Linked DNA regions of Lonchura striata. The protein of the gene in region 2 purifies or fractionates together with the protein of the main gene of each other region. This does not show direct contact. Links are inferred from orthologs where the notes say so. Each region holds a gene or a part of one and is shown on either strand. Other genes may lie near its edges.

Region 1 (7,742 bases), on a different chromosome or scaffold from region 2:
AGTATATAAGCCTTTCACCACTAAAATATTTCTCAATAGCAGGACACACAGCCACAACCATGAACACTGTTCTTAAGGGACCTAACAGCAACAAAAAAAAAACAGTATTCATCCTGAGTTTTTATTTAAATATCTGAATATTGCTATGTAGATCGATGTAGTTGTTTAAATTTATGATCTATTTTTTTTTTTTATTTTGTCCACCCAGCCCATTCCTGCAGACAACACCAAACAAGTTGTCCCAGCTCCTCAGAGCTGTTTTTCCATGACAAGATATTAATTAGGAGGGACAAAAAGAACAAGGGAAATTGGAACAACACCATCTGAAAGCTGATTTTCCAATCAATATCCTATGCCTGTCACACAGAAGACACTTCCAGGCTAGTTGCACCAATCTTTTGAATTACACCACCAAGGCTTCCACAAAATCTTTAAATGGCATTTTTCCCACCACAGCAAATTGTTCACCTGAAATAATTTCAATATGGCACATGATCAGTGAAAATTCCCTTTTAAATAGCTGAGACTGTTGGAAACCTCACTTGGAAATTAAATGTCTAGGGTAAATAAAGAGCAATATTTGGAAAAATCTGCAATGGGTTTCAGGTGGGAATTCAGCAGAAACTATAAAAGTAGAAAGAAATATTAATAAATCGATCATAAAAGGGCATGTTTGCAAACAAAACTACACTAGAGGAAGCTAGATGACCACCTGAAAGCAGGTTGGCTATGGTGTGAACAAGGACTGACACCAGGAGTCTCCCTGGACTTTACAGAATATTTTCAATTTGAGTTTCTAGTTCACACTGAGCATCCAGAAGTGAGTCCAAGCAGGCAAAACAACCCAGTTTTTGCCTTCTATTTCTGACACATACACACACAAAAAAAATAGTTCAAAAGTATTACTGCCTTTAAAGTCTTCAGTCATGTTGACCATCAAAGGCTGTAATGGTCAGTGATTATACTAAAAACTTATTTCTCTTTACAAACATACTTCAATGTAACATCATTCAAACACTTCAAAGTGAAGCTATCCTAGGTAATAAGGCTATTTTTAGAATTGTCTTTATGCACTTAATGATTTTTTTAAATCCAAAACCTTGACATGTGATGGAAGGAAAACAACCTCAGTGAATTTAATTCAGTAACGGGAATAAAATGTATGAACATGCTATGAGAAAATGAGCACACAGCAAGATGCTGACTACCTGTTAGACAGATGGTTAAATCTGCAACTGAATGAACCTTTACAGGCACTAAACAACCTAGAGAAACATCAGAACAAATTCAGAATCAACACATTGCCTGAAGTCCACAGGACACAAAAAAGTCAGATGAGAGAACCCACTTCAAACTTACACCTGCTTGTGCAGGTAACATCCCAGGTAAATTTTGGTGATTATGAATCTGAAACCACGATTTCACAGAGATCTGTCAATTTACAGTGACCAAATCTACCACTGCTCTGTAGAAGACATAAACAGCATTTTCAGTGGATTGTTGTAGGCCTCAGCTTCAAGTCCTCTGCTTCAGTAAACCACTGCCTCAATTCCATGGGATAAATGCATTTTATACATGCACATGCTCCCACAGCAGCTGCAAAAAGTATCTCAAATGTTACCTCAAAATGTCATTTTAGAGAGGGGAAAAAAATCTGTTCATCCTCACCAAAGGAAAAAGCAAACCTGTCCCACACTCAGCAGAATAGCATGAATTTGGTGCTGAAACACAAGAGAATGAAACAGACCCCAAAACCAAGTCACCACATTGGGAAGGTGGGTGGTTTATAAAACCATATTTATAAGGAGGAACAGGTTCCTCATAACACTTCAGGAGTTTCATCACTGTGAAAATTCTACAGTGACGCCTTCATTTTACTGAGCTCTCGCAGCATCAAAGGTTATCCCCTCAACAACAAGAAGTTGTTGTCAAGGGAATAACAAACAGACAAAACAAAGCAAACACAAACAAAACAAAGCAAAGCAAAACAAACAAAAAAGGCTCCTGGAGGAAAAAAAAAAGGAATTCTTGGGCAGGTGCAGCTACAGAAAAGATGAATAGCTCTAAAAGGAGAAAACGTAGCACAGGAGCCAAAATTCAACAGAACAGTCTGGGCTCTCCCTATACAACACTAGAACTAACAGTAAGAGGGCCCTAATTAATAAACAGCCTCATTAAGGCGTTCTTTATATTATTACGGCTTCAGTAGCCAGTGGCTCACACCCTCGGGCGAGGCAACACCCGCTGGGAGCCGAGTACCAGCGAACAACCGAAAAGAACCACCAAAAACCACCAAAAGAACCAGTTGTTGCAGGGGTTTTTTGTATGTTTTTGTTTGTATGTGGGGTTTTTCTGTCGTTTTTAGTTTTTCGTGGGGGTTTTAAGTTGTTTTGGTTTTGCTTTTTTGGTTGGGCTGTTTCGGGTCTTTTTTTTGCTAGGTTTTTTTGTTTGTTTTTTTTTTTTCTTTTGTTTTTTTTGTGTTTTTTTTGGGGGGGATGGTTTTTTTTTTGTTTGTTTTGGTGGGGTTTTGGGGGGTTTTTTGTTGTTTTTTTTTTGTTTTTTCCTTTTTTGGGGGGGGTTTGGGGTTTGTTTGGGGTTTTTTTTTGTTGTTTTTTTGTTTGTTTGTTCGTTTGCTTTGGTTTGGTTTTTTGGGGGTTTTTTTGAGTTTTGGGGTTTTTCTGTTGGTTTTTTGTTTGTTTTTTTCACCCCAGCGTCTCACTATACACACACACACACACACACACACAGATATATATATATATATATATATATATATATATATATATATATATATATATAGTATATAGTATATAGAGAGAGAGAGAGAGAGAGAGCATATATATATATAGTATATATAAATAAATAAATATATATATATAGAGAGAGAGAGCACATATATATATATATATAGTACATATAAATAAATAAATAAATAAATAGATAGATGCGTGGCCCCCGTGGATCGGTGTAGGGTTGATCCCGTTGATCCCGGTTATCCCCACACCGGGACACACTCAAGGATCCACCTCCTCCCCTCAGTGTTGCGAGGGGTCAGTTCAGGGCTGATCCCGGTGATCCCGGTTATCCGCACACCGGGACACGGACCGTGCCCCGCTCCCCTCAGTGTTGTGAGGGGTCAGTTCAGGGTTGATCCCGGTTATCCCGATTATCCCCACATCGGGACATCCCCCCGCACTCCCTTCAGTCCCGCCCGTGCCGCGCGCGCGGGGCGGGCCGCCCGACCTACCTCCCGCGCCGCCACTTCCGCCTGCTCCGCGCCAACCAATCAACGCCGCGTCCGCCCGTATATCCCGCCCCTCCGCCGGCAGCGCCGACCAATCGCAGCGCCCCGCGGCGCCGCCAGCCAATGGCGGCCGCGCCCGCGCCCCGGCGCGCTGAGGGCGCGCGGTGCGCGCTTCCGCCCGTGGCGGCGGCCGGAAGGTGATGTGGCGGAGCGCGGCGCGATGGTAAGAGCGGGGCCCGCCCGGCCCTGCCCGCTCCGGGCCGGGCCCTCGCCGCTCCCCGGCCTCCCCCGGTGCCCAGCGGCGCCTCCCGGCCCGAGCGCCGCCCCCTCAGGTCGCTCACGGCGTGACCCGCGGCCCGCGGGAGCGGAGCCGCCTCAGGGCTTTGCTGGGAGTCGCGCGGGGCGGGTTTGCGTGACAGGGAAAAAAAAACCCGGTTTGCGTCTGTGCGGGGCCGGTGCGAGGTCGGTCAGGTGCTGGGCGTATCTCTCGCGGCCTCCTGACGTCACGTATTGTCCTGCGTGACGTCATGGTTGCGTTGTGTGACGTCATGCTCAGTGCAGTGCGCTGAGCTGCGTCATTGGCTGCTCTTCAGGGGTCATCAGAGGTCATCAGAGGCTCAGGTCCACTTATTCATGAAAACTGTGGATTATTTATAAAAATACATATTTTTTAAAAATATATATATATTACATTTTGTATTTTTATATTTTATCTATTTTATATATATATACCTTTATTTATACATATGTATGTATATATATGTATGTATATGTGTAGCATTTTTAACTATGTATGCATACATATATACATAGCCTTTATATTTATTAAAAAATTATATGTTTACAGCATATATATATATATAGCGGGTATATATATGGTACATACGATTTTTAAGAGTATAGATGTACATGCAATATAACAACATAAAAATGCATATTCTTAAATTTATTCATAGTTACATGAATAGCTAAGAGGTGTAAATACATAAAAACCAGATAAGTACATCTGGAAGATAATATCTTTGCTTATGTACGAGTTTATTATGTGTATAACAAATAAATGTGGATACAGAGATATTTATCTATATATTTATGGGGGTATGTAAATGTATAATTGAATATTTTAATAATTGTGTATTATATGTTATATAATACACATATATAACCAATATACCTTTTTCTATAATCCAGCCACATAAACACTGTGGGGTTTGTATATTTTTTTAATACATATATATGTATGTATGTATATATATATATTTATTTAAAATATATGTGTATAAATACATACATTTTTTATGTAAAGTTGGTCTAGAGGCAAATTGTTTTGGTTTTTTTTTTTTGTTTGTTTCCTCCCCATTTTTCCAGTCTCTGTGCAGGTAATACAAAATAAGGGTTTACATCTCTGTCACAATGAAATACTTTTTCTTAGTCAAGGTTTGTACATTAAATATTTATTTATCAACAACATTTATATGAGCAGAGCAGATACACAAATTTAAAATTAAAAGGAATAACTGAGTTAACTTAGGTTTTTTTCCTGTACAAAGTACATGTTTATCCATAACTTCAGCACAGAATATGTTTTAAAATGGGAAGAGATCTTGGTGGAACATTGGTGTTGCGCAGTGTAATGATTAAATGCAACTAATTACTTAACATTGTATTATTATGTCATTTATATTTTATCTATTTTATTAGTGATATATAAGAAATATATAACAATAACTTAAAAACAAAAGTAATGTTTAAATCTAAGAAGGTTATGGAAAGTGTATGAGATTCTGCTAAGATTATCTCCTCCACTTGTCTCTTTTCCTTGCTAGAGGTTACTCTGTGTGCCTCAAGGACCCTGAAGCAAGAAACTCTTGTAAGGATGGTTTGCTTATGATTTAATAGTGAAAATAAGTTCCTATAGCATTATTGTGATGTTTGAATTTCTTCAAGAGAGCAGCAATCCTCCAGGACTTTGTGTTGTCCATGATGCCACCTCTAATGTCAAGGCATTTCAGGGAAAAAAAAGGATAATTTTTGACCTCACATTTGACTGTGAGAGAGGAAACAGCTGCTGTGTGTCATGAAATTAAAGAGATTAGAGCTACATCTCTAATTTATTCTCTTTGTCCAAAGAGTAAGAGCTGCAGTTCTGGCATGCTAGCAGCACTCTGAATATTCTATATTCTATAATATTCTGAAGCATGATTTCCAAAGGACTTTATGCCTTGGAAACTTTTCAATCCATTGCTTTCCAAGATTCTTTACCACATCCTTTCTTACTAAGCAGATGAGAACATGAGCTGGGTGAAGGGCCAGTTGCTGCCAAACAGGAAAAAAAAATTATATATATGTATAAGCTTACTTTCACCTGTTTTTTCTTCTGTGTGAAAGCAGAAATTGTGGGATTTTTTTTCCTCTTCACTGCCAGTGGATAGGGAAAAAACTCATCATTTTGACTTAAAGCAAAACCTTCGCTATTTTAACTTAAAGCAGCTATGGAAACCAGTAGAAGCTTCTCAGTGGATTCCAAATGGGATGCACCAGGGATGCAGGGCTCCCTCATTTATTGAGGAGCAGAACCTGTATTGTTTCCTGACTTCCACAAATCAGTTTGCCCTGCCAGCTTTCAGGATTTTACACCTGAAACCTCGACAGAAGTTTTTGTGGTGGGCTTGAAAAGTTTGCCATGTGCATGGATGGAAAAAGGGAAGAAGCCAAAGGCAATATTGAAGTTAATGAGGAGCTTCTCCCCTCCTGAAGGGTGGTCTTCACTTTCCTTCGTAGCAGAAATGTGAAGTTAGAATTTGATGGTGGAGAAAATTCAAAAGAAGTACAGAAAACTTGACAAAAACGGCTTCTTCTCTGTCACCCTCTGGTTGGGGCTGATCCTGGCCCCGCATTACTACCCAAAAATTGACTTGGGAACTTTCCACAAGGACAAACATTTTGGTCTCAGTCTTTATTGCTCTCTTAGTGTGGTGTTTATAGAAGGAAGGGGAGTTGCTCATAGATCCAATTGTAAAAACATTCATTAGTAAATATTATTTAAAACCAAGCTGTTGGATATAAACATACCAGAATCCAAGACAGTGCTCTGAAAAAGGAGCTTTCAGGACTCTTCAAGTACAAAGTTTTGTGTTTGTCTTATTCAGAATTACAAGAATGAATCAATCTTCATTGAGATTTGCTAGCAGCTTTGTTTTATCATGACCTAAAGGTACATAGGTTTAAAAATGTCTTCTAGGTCACACTACAATCTTAGAGTGTCTTTGTATTGTGAATTTATTTCACCTGAAGTGTTCAGAGTAGATACTTCTATCATCTTAGAGGATGATGTGAAAGTACATTGTCAATGTTTTATGTCTGTGATTATTGAACTGAGGAAATTATTCTGTCAGGGTAAGATGGTCTCTTTTTGGAAGAGTAGGATGTAGTGAGTCTGCTTTAACAGATTTACCCAGAATCACTCTAGTTGTGAGAAACCATTTCTTTGCTGAGTGCCATAAAAAAATGAATGTCACAATTTAGTTTTTTGGTTGCTTGCAGCATTAGACACCATACACATTCATTGTAAGAGCTGCAGCACTGAATATGTTTTTCTGCTAATGCACAGAGCCAGGCGTTCAAACTCAACAAAAGTTTTTGATTTTCAACCTGGTGACTGTGGAAACAAGGTGGGAACAGCTGTGAAAAATATTACCTGTCTTCCAGATGCTAAATATTCAAACCATGCATGTGAACCTCTGCCAAACAAGAGACTTGCAGAGGTGCTGTGGACCTGCCCAGGGCCAAGGGACATGACTGATTTAGCAGAACTTGTCATTGTTTCTTAACTAAGTATATTTTTTCTTGGTATTTGTTCTTCATTTTTGAAAGAGATGGTTTGACTGAATGAGCAAAAAAAAAATTTTGGTAAATAGTACATGTAAAATATTTATAGTTCTGTTTTGCAGCTTTTAGGTAAATTAGAATATATCTTCTTTTTTGAGAAGTTAAGAGATTTTCCCATGGCCATGTGCAAATTCCTGTAGCATCTTCTGTTGCAAACTCCTTTTTTTGAACGCTGCTTTTATTATAGTAAGGATATCACCTGATTCCAAGAGTGCTTTAGTATGACCCTTACCTCTTCCATTCACACACAGAGGTTTTACTGTTTTTTCGGTTTTCAGTACTAAATTCGTGGTGAACTAAACAGTGTGGCATGCAAGTTCAGATAGGAGAGTTACTTAAAAAAAAATGGGTTATTTAAAATATTGCTTTTCTCTAATGGGGGAAGACAGGAGAAGAAAAATATCTCTATAAAAATTTAGAAGTGTATAATCTACAGAGAAGACCTGGGGGAAAAGTTACTGTAAGATTTTACTGGCATATCCACCATAATTCTTTGTTTAGTAAATATGTGGACATGCACACCTTTGTGCTACAGTGACCCCACTAAAAGACTTTAATAGTCACTTTGTTTTTCAGAGTAAGATATTTTGGTGAAATGCTGCATCTGCTA
Region 2 (8,396 bases):
GTTTTCACCCACTTGAAGGGGTTGTTTGGGGGTTTTTGTGAGGGAAAAAGGGGTGCTTTGAGATTTGGGGGGGCTGAGGGGTCCTGGGAGGGGATTTGGGGGGATCTGAGGGGTCCTGGGAGGGGATTTGGGGGGTCTGAGAATGTTTGAGGGGTCCTGGGATGGGATTTGAGGGGTCTGAGTGCATTGAGGGATCTTGGGGTGGGATTTGGGGGGGTCTGAGGGGTCCTGGGAGGGGAATTGGGGGGTCTGAGTGCATTGAGTGGTCTTGGGGTGGGATTTGGGGGGGTCTGAGTAATCCTGGGGTGGGATTTGGGGGGGTCTGAGGGGTCTTGTGGTGGGATCTGGGGAGTCTGAGGGGTTCTGGGGTGGGATTTGGGGGCTCTGAGGTGTCTGGAGTGCGATTTGGGGAGATTTTGGGGGGCTCAGGGGTTTGTGGGCTGAAGTTTGGGGAGCCCCATGGGGGTTGGGGGTTTGAGGGGGGAATTTGGGGGGGTCTCTGAAATGGGGAGGGGGGGGGGGGCTGGGCACAGGACCCCCAAATCCCTCCCCCCAAAATCCCCCCCCCCCGCCCGTACCTTCGTGCTGGGCCGGAGCCCTGAGGGGGTGAAGATGAGGAGGGGTCCCAGTTTCTGCCACCCCCCCCGGGAGGGGCTTTGGGGGTCTCTGCGGGCCGGGGGGGGCTCCTCGGGGGGGCTGGCGGGGCGTTTTTTGGGGTGGGGGGTCCCCTCGAAGTGCAGCACCAGGGGGTACCTCCCGTTCACCAGCAGCAGCGTCTGCCCGGGGGCGAGGGTCCCGCAGCCCCCCCGGCCCAGCACCGAGCCCCCCACCGAGCTGGGGTTCACCCCACGCTGGGGAGGGAAGGGTTAAAGACCACTCCCCAAAAAAACCCACCCCAAAATCCCATAAATCCCACCCCAAAAAAAATGGGGTTCACCCCACGCTGGGGAGGGAAGGGTTAAAGACCCCTCCCCAAAAAAACCCACCCCAAAATCCCATAAATCCCACCCAAAAAAACTGGGGTACACCCCGCGCTGGGGAGGGAAGGGTTAAAGACCCCTCCCCAAAAAAACCCACCCCAAAATCCCATAAATCCCACCCAAAACCTGGGGTTCAACCCACACTGGGGAGGAAAGGGTTAAAGACGCCTCCCCAAAAAACCCAGCCCAAAATGAGCCCCAAAATCCCATAAATCCCCCCCACGACCCCCCAAAACCCCTCCAAGCACCCCCCAAATCCCCCCCAGGACCCCCCAAATCCCCCCCAGGACCCCCAAAACCCCTCCCAGGACCCCCCACATTCCCCGCAGGACTCCCCAAATCCCTCCCAGGACCCCCCAAAACTCCTCCAAGCACCCCCAAAACCCCTCTAGGACCCCCCAGATCCCCCCAGGACCCCCCAAAACCCCTTTAAGCACCCCCAAAATCCTACCAAGACCACCCAAAACCCCCCAGGACCCCCCAAAACCCCTCCCAGGACCCCCTAACCCCACCCAGGATCCCCCAATCCCCCCCAGGTCTCCCCAAATCCACCCCAGGACCCCCCAAAACCCTCCCCAGGACCCCCCAAAACCCTCCCCAGGACCCCCCAAATCCCCCCCAGGACCCTCCAAAACCCCCCAGGACCCTCCAAATCCCTCCCAGGACCCCGCAAAACTCCTCCAAGCACCCCCAAAACCCCTCTAGGACCCCCCCAAATCCCCCCAGGACCCCCAAAAACCCCTTTAAGCACCCCCAAAATCCCACTAAGACCACCCAAAAACCCCCAGGACCCCCCAAAACCCCTCCCAGAACCCCCCAAACCCCTCCCAGGACCCCCAAACCCCTCCCAGGACCCCCCAAATCCCCCCCAGGACCCCCCAAATCCCCCCCAGGTCCCCCCAAAACCATCCCCAGGACCCTCCAAAACCCCCCAGGACCCCCCAAATCCCCCCCAGGTGCCCCCACCTGTGTGACCCGGGCCGTGCCCTCGGCGTAGTTGGCCACGATCTCCACTGTGGGGAGGGGGCAGATTTGGGGATCCCCCCTGAGCCCCCCAAAATTCGGGGAGGGGGAACCCACAAAAGTGTCCCCAGAGCCTGGAGGGGGGTTTGGGGGGGATTTGGGGGGTCCTGAAGGTGAAAGTTGGGGGTTCTGAGAATGAAATTTGGGGGTTTTGGGGGTGAATTTGGGGATTCTGGGGGGGGTGAATATTTAGAGGTCCTAGGGGGAAACTTTGGAGGTCTTGGGGGGCAAAATTTGAGGGTCCCAGAACGTTAAATCTGGGGGTTCTGGGGGGCGACTTTGGGGCTTTTGGGGGGTAAAATTTGGGGGTCTTGGGAGTTGAATTTGGGGGTCCTGAGGGGGAAATTTGGGGATTATGGGGTGAAATTTGGGGGTTCTGGGGGTGAAATTTGGGGATCACATGGGCTGCAACTTGAGAGTCTTTGGGAGAAATTTGGGGATCATGGGGGTGAAACTTGGGGGTCCTGGGGTGGAATTTAGGGGTCCCAGAGGGGGAATTTAGGGGTCGTGGGGGGGGGATATTTAGGAGACCTGGGGGGGAAAATTTGGGGGTCTTGGGTGGGAATATTTGGGAGTCCTGGGGGTGAATTTGGGGGTCCCAGAGGGTGAATTTGAGGGTCCTGGGGGGAGAATTTGGGCGGTGAATTTTGGGGTCCTGACGGGGAATTTGTGGCACCTGGGGGGTGAATATTTACAGGTCCTGGGGGAGAATTTGGAAGTGAATTTGAGAGTCCTGAAGGTGAATTTGGGGGTCCTGGGAGGTGAATTCGGAGGTGAATTTGGGGGTCCTGGGGCGGGAATATTTGGGGGTCCTGAGAGTGAATTTGGGGGTCCTGGGGCAGGAAACGTGGGGGTTCTGAGGGTAAATTTGGGAGCCCTGGGGGAGGAATATTTGGGGGTCCTGAGGGTAAATTTGCAGGGTGAATTTGGGGGTCCTGGGAGGTGAATTTGGGGCTCCCGTGGGCAGAGGGCACGGCGGGTCCTGGGAGGGTCCTGAGGGGGTCCCGGGGAGGTTCTGAGGGGGTCCTGAGGGGGTCCCGCTGGCTCTGAGGGGGTCCCGGTTCGGGTTCGGGTCCCGGGAGGTCCCGGGGGGGTTCCCCGCACCCACCCTGCTGCCGGGAGCACTTGCGGTCGGTGACGCCGGTGAGCGGCCCGCGGCCCAGCAGCACGGGCTGCCCGTCGGGCAGCGGCACGGGCCCGGCCAGGCCGCGCAGCTCGGCCCGCATGGCGGCGGCGGCGGGACCCGAACCGGCACCGGGACCCGAACCGGGAGCGGCGCCGGAGCCGCCCCGGCCCCGCCGCCTCCTCCCGGCGCCGTGACGTCACTTCCGCCACGCAGCCCCGCCCCTTTGCTCCGTTCCCGCCTTTTTTTGCCCTTGCACGCTGCAAAGCCACGCCCCTTTGTTCCTAAGACACGCCCCTTTATTTCTAAGCCACGCCCCCTCAGGGCCGCGCCTCTTTTGGCGCCTGCGAGGCGACTTCCGGTGCTGCTACGCCGCCGCTTCCGGTGGGTGGAGTGGCATCGCGCCCCCTGGCGGTGGAGGACTGGGTGGGTCCTCCAAGGGTGGGTGGGAGAATGGGAGGGGACTGGGATGGACTGGGAGGGACTGGGATGGACTGGGAGGGGTTTGAGGGGCACTGGGAGGGGTTTGGGGGTCGCTGGGAGGCACTGGGAGGGGACTGGGAGAGGTTTGGGGGTCACTGGGAAGGACTGGTTTGGACTGGGAGGGGTTTGAGTGGCACTGGGAGGGGTTTGGGGGTCGCTGGGAGGGGACTGGGAGGGGCTGGGAGAGGTCTGGGGGGCACTGGGATGGACTGGGAGGAACTGGGAGGGGTTTGAGGGGTACTGGGAGGGACTGGTTTGGACTGGGAGGGGTTTGGGGGGCACTGGGAGGGACTGGGAGGGGTTTGGGGGCACTGGGAGGGGACTGGGAGGGGCTGGGAGAGGTCTGGGGGGGACTGGGAGGGGTTTGGGGGTCACTGGGAGGGGTTTGAGGGGACTGGGAGAGGTCTGGGGGTCACTGGGAGGGGACTGGTTCGGACTGGAAGAGGCTACCTGGGGGGGTCACCCCTCCCCACCCCAAGCTGGGACCCCAAAATACGAACCTGCTGACTCAGCATGACCCCCCCGTGACCCCCCCGTGACCCCCCCACGACCCCCGCTGTGCCACCAAGTGTCACCTTTATTGCCGGGGTGGGAATGGCGGGGGTCAGCAGGGGTGGCCTCGGTGGCCTCGGTGTCCCCTGTGGGTCCCGAGGTGGCCTCGGTGTCCCCATGGAGCTCTTGTACCCCCCCCCCACCCCCCAGTTTGGCTCTGTTCGCCCCAGTTCATCCCAGTGCCCCCCCCCAGTTCGTTGTGGTGCACCCCCAGTTCATCCCAGTGCACTCCCAGTTCGTCCTGGTGCACTCCCAGTTCATCCCAGGGCTCCCCAGTTTGTTCTGGTGCACCCCCAGTTCATTATGGTGCACTCCCAGTTCATCCCAGTTCATCCCAGCGTGCCCCAGTTTGCCCTGGTGCACTCCCAGTTCATCCAGGTGTGCCCCAGTTTGCTCTGGTGCATTCCCAGTTCATCCCAGTGCCCCCCAGTTCATCCAGGTGCACTCCCAGTTCATCCCAGTGCGCCCCAGTTTGCTCTGGTGCATTCCCAGTTCATCCTGGTGCACTCCCAGTCCATGCTGGTGCATTCCCAGATTGTCACAGTGTCCCCCAGTTTGTTCTGGTGCACTCCCAGTTCATCCTCACTCGTTCCAGTTCATCCAGGTGCACTCCCAGTCCATCCCAGTGCACTCTCAATTCATCCAGGTGCACTCCCAGTCCATCCCAGTCCATCCAGGTGCACTCCCAGTGCCTCCCAGTCCATACTGGTGCACTCCCAGTCCATGCTGGTGCACTCCCAGTGCATCCCAGTCCATCCTGGTGCACCCCAATCCATCCAGGTGCACTCCCAGTCCATCCCAGTCCATCCAGGTGCACTCCCAGTGCCTCCCAGTCCATACTGGTGCACTCCCAGTCCATACTGGTGCACTCCCAGTCCATGCTGGTGCACTCCCAGTGCATCCCAGTCCATCCTGGTGCATCCCAGTCCATCCAGGTGCACTCCCAGTCCATCCCAGTCCATCCAGATGAACTCCCAGTGCCTCCCAGTCCATCCAGGTGCACTTCCAGTTCATTCCAGTTCATCCCAGTGCATTCCAGTCCATCCCAGTCCATCCAGATGCACTCCCAGTGCCTCCCAGTTCATTCAGGTGCACTCCCAGTGCACCCCAGTCCATCCAGGTGCACTCCCAGTCCATCCCAGTCCATCCAGATGCACTCCCAGTGCCTCCCAGTTCCTCCCAGTCCATCCCAGCCCGCCCCCCACCCCGCCGCCCCGCCTTGTCACACCTCGGTCACCAGCCTGCCCCCGGCCCAGCCCTTCTGGCCGCCGGCCTCGCCGTCCACGCCCCAGCCCGGCCCCTGCCCGGCGCCCGCCTTGTCCTCGGCGTCGCCGGCGGGCTCGGGGTGGTGCGGGCAGGGCGCGGCGGGCACCACGGCGCCGCTCTCCTCGCCGCGCAGCTCGCGCCGGTAGAAGTAGGAGAAGTTGGAGACGATGACGGGCACGGGCAGCGAGATGGTCAACACGCCCGCGATGGCGCACAGCGAGCCCACCAGCTTGCCGCCCACCGTCACCGGCGCCATGTCCCCGTAACCCACCGTGGTCATGGTGACCACCGCCCACCAGAACGCCTGCGGGATGGAGGTGAAGGCCGTGGCCGCGTCTTCGGCCTCGGCGAAGTAGACGGCGCTGGAGAAGAGCACGACGCCGATGAGGAGGAAGAAGATGAGCAGGCCCAGCTCCCTCATGCTGGCCTTGAGGGTCTGGCCCAGGATCTGCAGGCCGGTGGAGTGGCGGGACAGTTTGAAGACGCGGAAGACGCGCACCAGGCGGATGACGCGCAGCACGGCCAGCGACATGGCGGGCTGGCCGATGCCGCGCTGCCGCGCCAGCTCGGTGCCCAGCGCGATGAAGTACGGCGCGATGGCCGCCAGGTCGATGAGGTTCATGGCGCTGCGGAAGAAGGCCGCCTTGCTGGGGCTGGCCACCAGCCGCACCAGCAGCTCCAGCGAGAACCAGCAGATGCAGACGGTCTCCACCAGGAAGAAGGGGTCGGTCAGGCCGGAGCGGTGGGGAGGGGGCGTGGGGGTGGTGGTGTTGGTGGGGGTGGGCGAGGGGGGCTGTGGGGAGAGAGGAGAGAGGTGGGGGGTGAGATGGAGGTGGGGGAAACGCCCGAATCCGGCAGCCGGAACCCCAAAGTCAATGCCCAGAATGGGTTAATGGGGGTGGAGACCACCCAAACCCCAGATCCACCACCCAAAATGGGTTAAGGGGGGCTGGAGACCCCCAAAATGGGTTAACAGGGGTTGGAGACCACCCAGATCCCCAGATCCACCACCCAAAATGGGTTAACAGGGGTTGGAGACCACCCAGATCCCCAGATCCACCTCCCAAAATGGGTTAACGGGGGTTGGAGACCACCCAAACCCCAGATCCACCACCCAAAATGGGTTAAGGGGGGCTGGTGACCACCCAAACCCCAGATCCACCACCCAAAATGGGTTAATGGGGGTTGGAGACCACCCAAACCCCAGATCCACCACCTAAAATGGGTTAAGGGGGGCTGGAGACCCCCAAAATGGGTTAACAGGGGTTGGAGACCACCCAGATCCCCAGATCCACCACCCAAAATGGGTTAAGGGGGGCTGGAGACCACCCAAACCCCAGATCCACCTCCCAAAATGGGTTAACGGGGGTTGGAGACCACCCAAACCCCAGATCCACCTCCCAAAATGGGTTAAGGGGGGTTGGAGACCACCCAAACCCTAGATCCACCTCCCAAAATGGGTTAACGGGGGTTGGAGACCACCCAAACCCAGATCCACCTCCCAAAATGGGTTAAGGGGGGCTGGAGACCCCAAAATGGGTTAACGGGGGTTGGAGACCACCCAAACCCCAGATCCACCTCCCAAAATGGGTTAATGGGGGTTGGAGACCACCCAAACCCCAAAGTGACCGCCCAGAGGGGGTTAACAGGAGTTGGAGACCCCAAAAATAGGTTAATGGGGGTTGGAGACCACCCAGACCCCAAAGTGACCACCCACCCACCCACTGTGGGTCAGCGGGGTTGGAGGATGAAGATGAGGATGATGATGAGGATGAGGATGAGGATGAGGAGGATGATGATGATGATGATGATGATGATGATGATGATGATGATGATGATGAAGAGAACGCTGATGAATATGAGGGTGAACACAAGGGTGGTGGCAACAGGGACACTGAAGATGATGAGGATGATGAGGATGATGAGGATGAAGATGGCCATGATGAGGACACTGAAAATGATGAGGATGATGAGGACGGTAACAGTGACACCAAGGACAATGAAGATGAAGGTAGCCATGATGAGGATGATGAAGATGAGGATGAGGATGGTGACAATGACACTGAGGATGATGAGGATGATGAGGATGATGAGGAGGAAGATGTGAAGATGGCCATGATGAGGACACTGAAGATGAGGATGAGGATGGTGACCATGACACTGAGGACGATGAAGATGAGGATGTCCACAATGAGGACACTGAAGATGAGGATGGTGACCATGACACTGGGGATGATGAGGATGATGAGGACGGTGATAATGACATTGAGGATGAGGATGATGAAGATGGTGACCACGACACCGATGATGAGAATGATAAGGATGAGGATGTTGTCAATGACACCAATGATGATGATGATGACGATGATGGTGACAATGACACCAAGGACGATGAAGATGAGGATGTCCACAATGAGGACACTGAAGATGAGGATGATGAAGATGATGTCAGTGACACCGAGGACGATGAGGATGAAGATGATGAAGATGATGACAAGGACCCCGACAATGAGGATGATGAGGATGAGGATGGTGACAATGATGCTGATGAAGAAGATGGTGACAACTGCACCAATGATGAAAATGATGAAGGTGACAATGACACCAACGATGAAGATGATGAAGATGGTGACAATGACACCGACAACGAGAATGATGAGAATGAGGATGGTGACAGTGACACCAATGATGAAGATGGTGACAATGACACCAACGATGAAGATGATGAAGATGGTGACAACGACACCGACAATGAGGATGAAGATGACAATGACAGTGACGATGAAGATGATGAAGATAAAAATGACACTGATGACGAAGTTGATGAGGATGGTGACAACGACACCAACAATGAGAATGATGAAGATAAAAATGACACTGATGATGAAGTTGATGAAGATGGTGACAACACCAATGAGGAATACGATGAGAATGGTGACAATGACACCGACAATAAGGATGATGAAGAT

The links.
Region 1: the proteins of PNKP (region 2) and XRCC4 purify together in Homo sapiens (co-immunoprecipitation; 5 studies listed by BioGRID and IntAct, counting the BioPlex papers as one, with this or other methods). This does not show direct contact. The link is inferred for Lonchura striata from reciprocal best matches to the Homo sapiens genes PNKP and XRCC4.

The regions. Positions count from the first base shown.
Region 1 is NC_134642.1:85,602,878-85,610,619, forward strand, and holds the start of XRCC4 (DNA repair protein XRCC4), read right to left. Parts: upstream 3,270-7,742; 5' UTR 3,248-3,269; intron 1-3,247.
Region 2 is NC_134640.1:2,119,178-2,127,573, forward strand, and holds the start of PNKP (bifunctional polynucleotide phosphatase/kinase), read right to left. Parts: upstream 3,230-8,396; coding exon 3,112-3,229; intron 1,994-3,111; coding exon 1,947-1,993; intron 852-1,946; coding exon 579-851; intron 1-578. Other genes in the region: KCNA7 (potassium voltage-gated channel subfamily A member 7), read right to left, coding at 5,384-6,158. UniProt on the Homo sapiens protein: Plays a key role in the repair of DNA damage, functioning as part of both the non-homologous end-joining (NHEJ) and base excision repair (BER) pathways.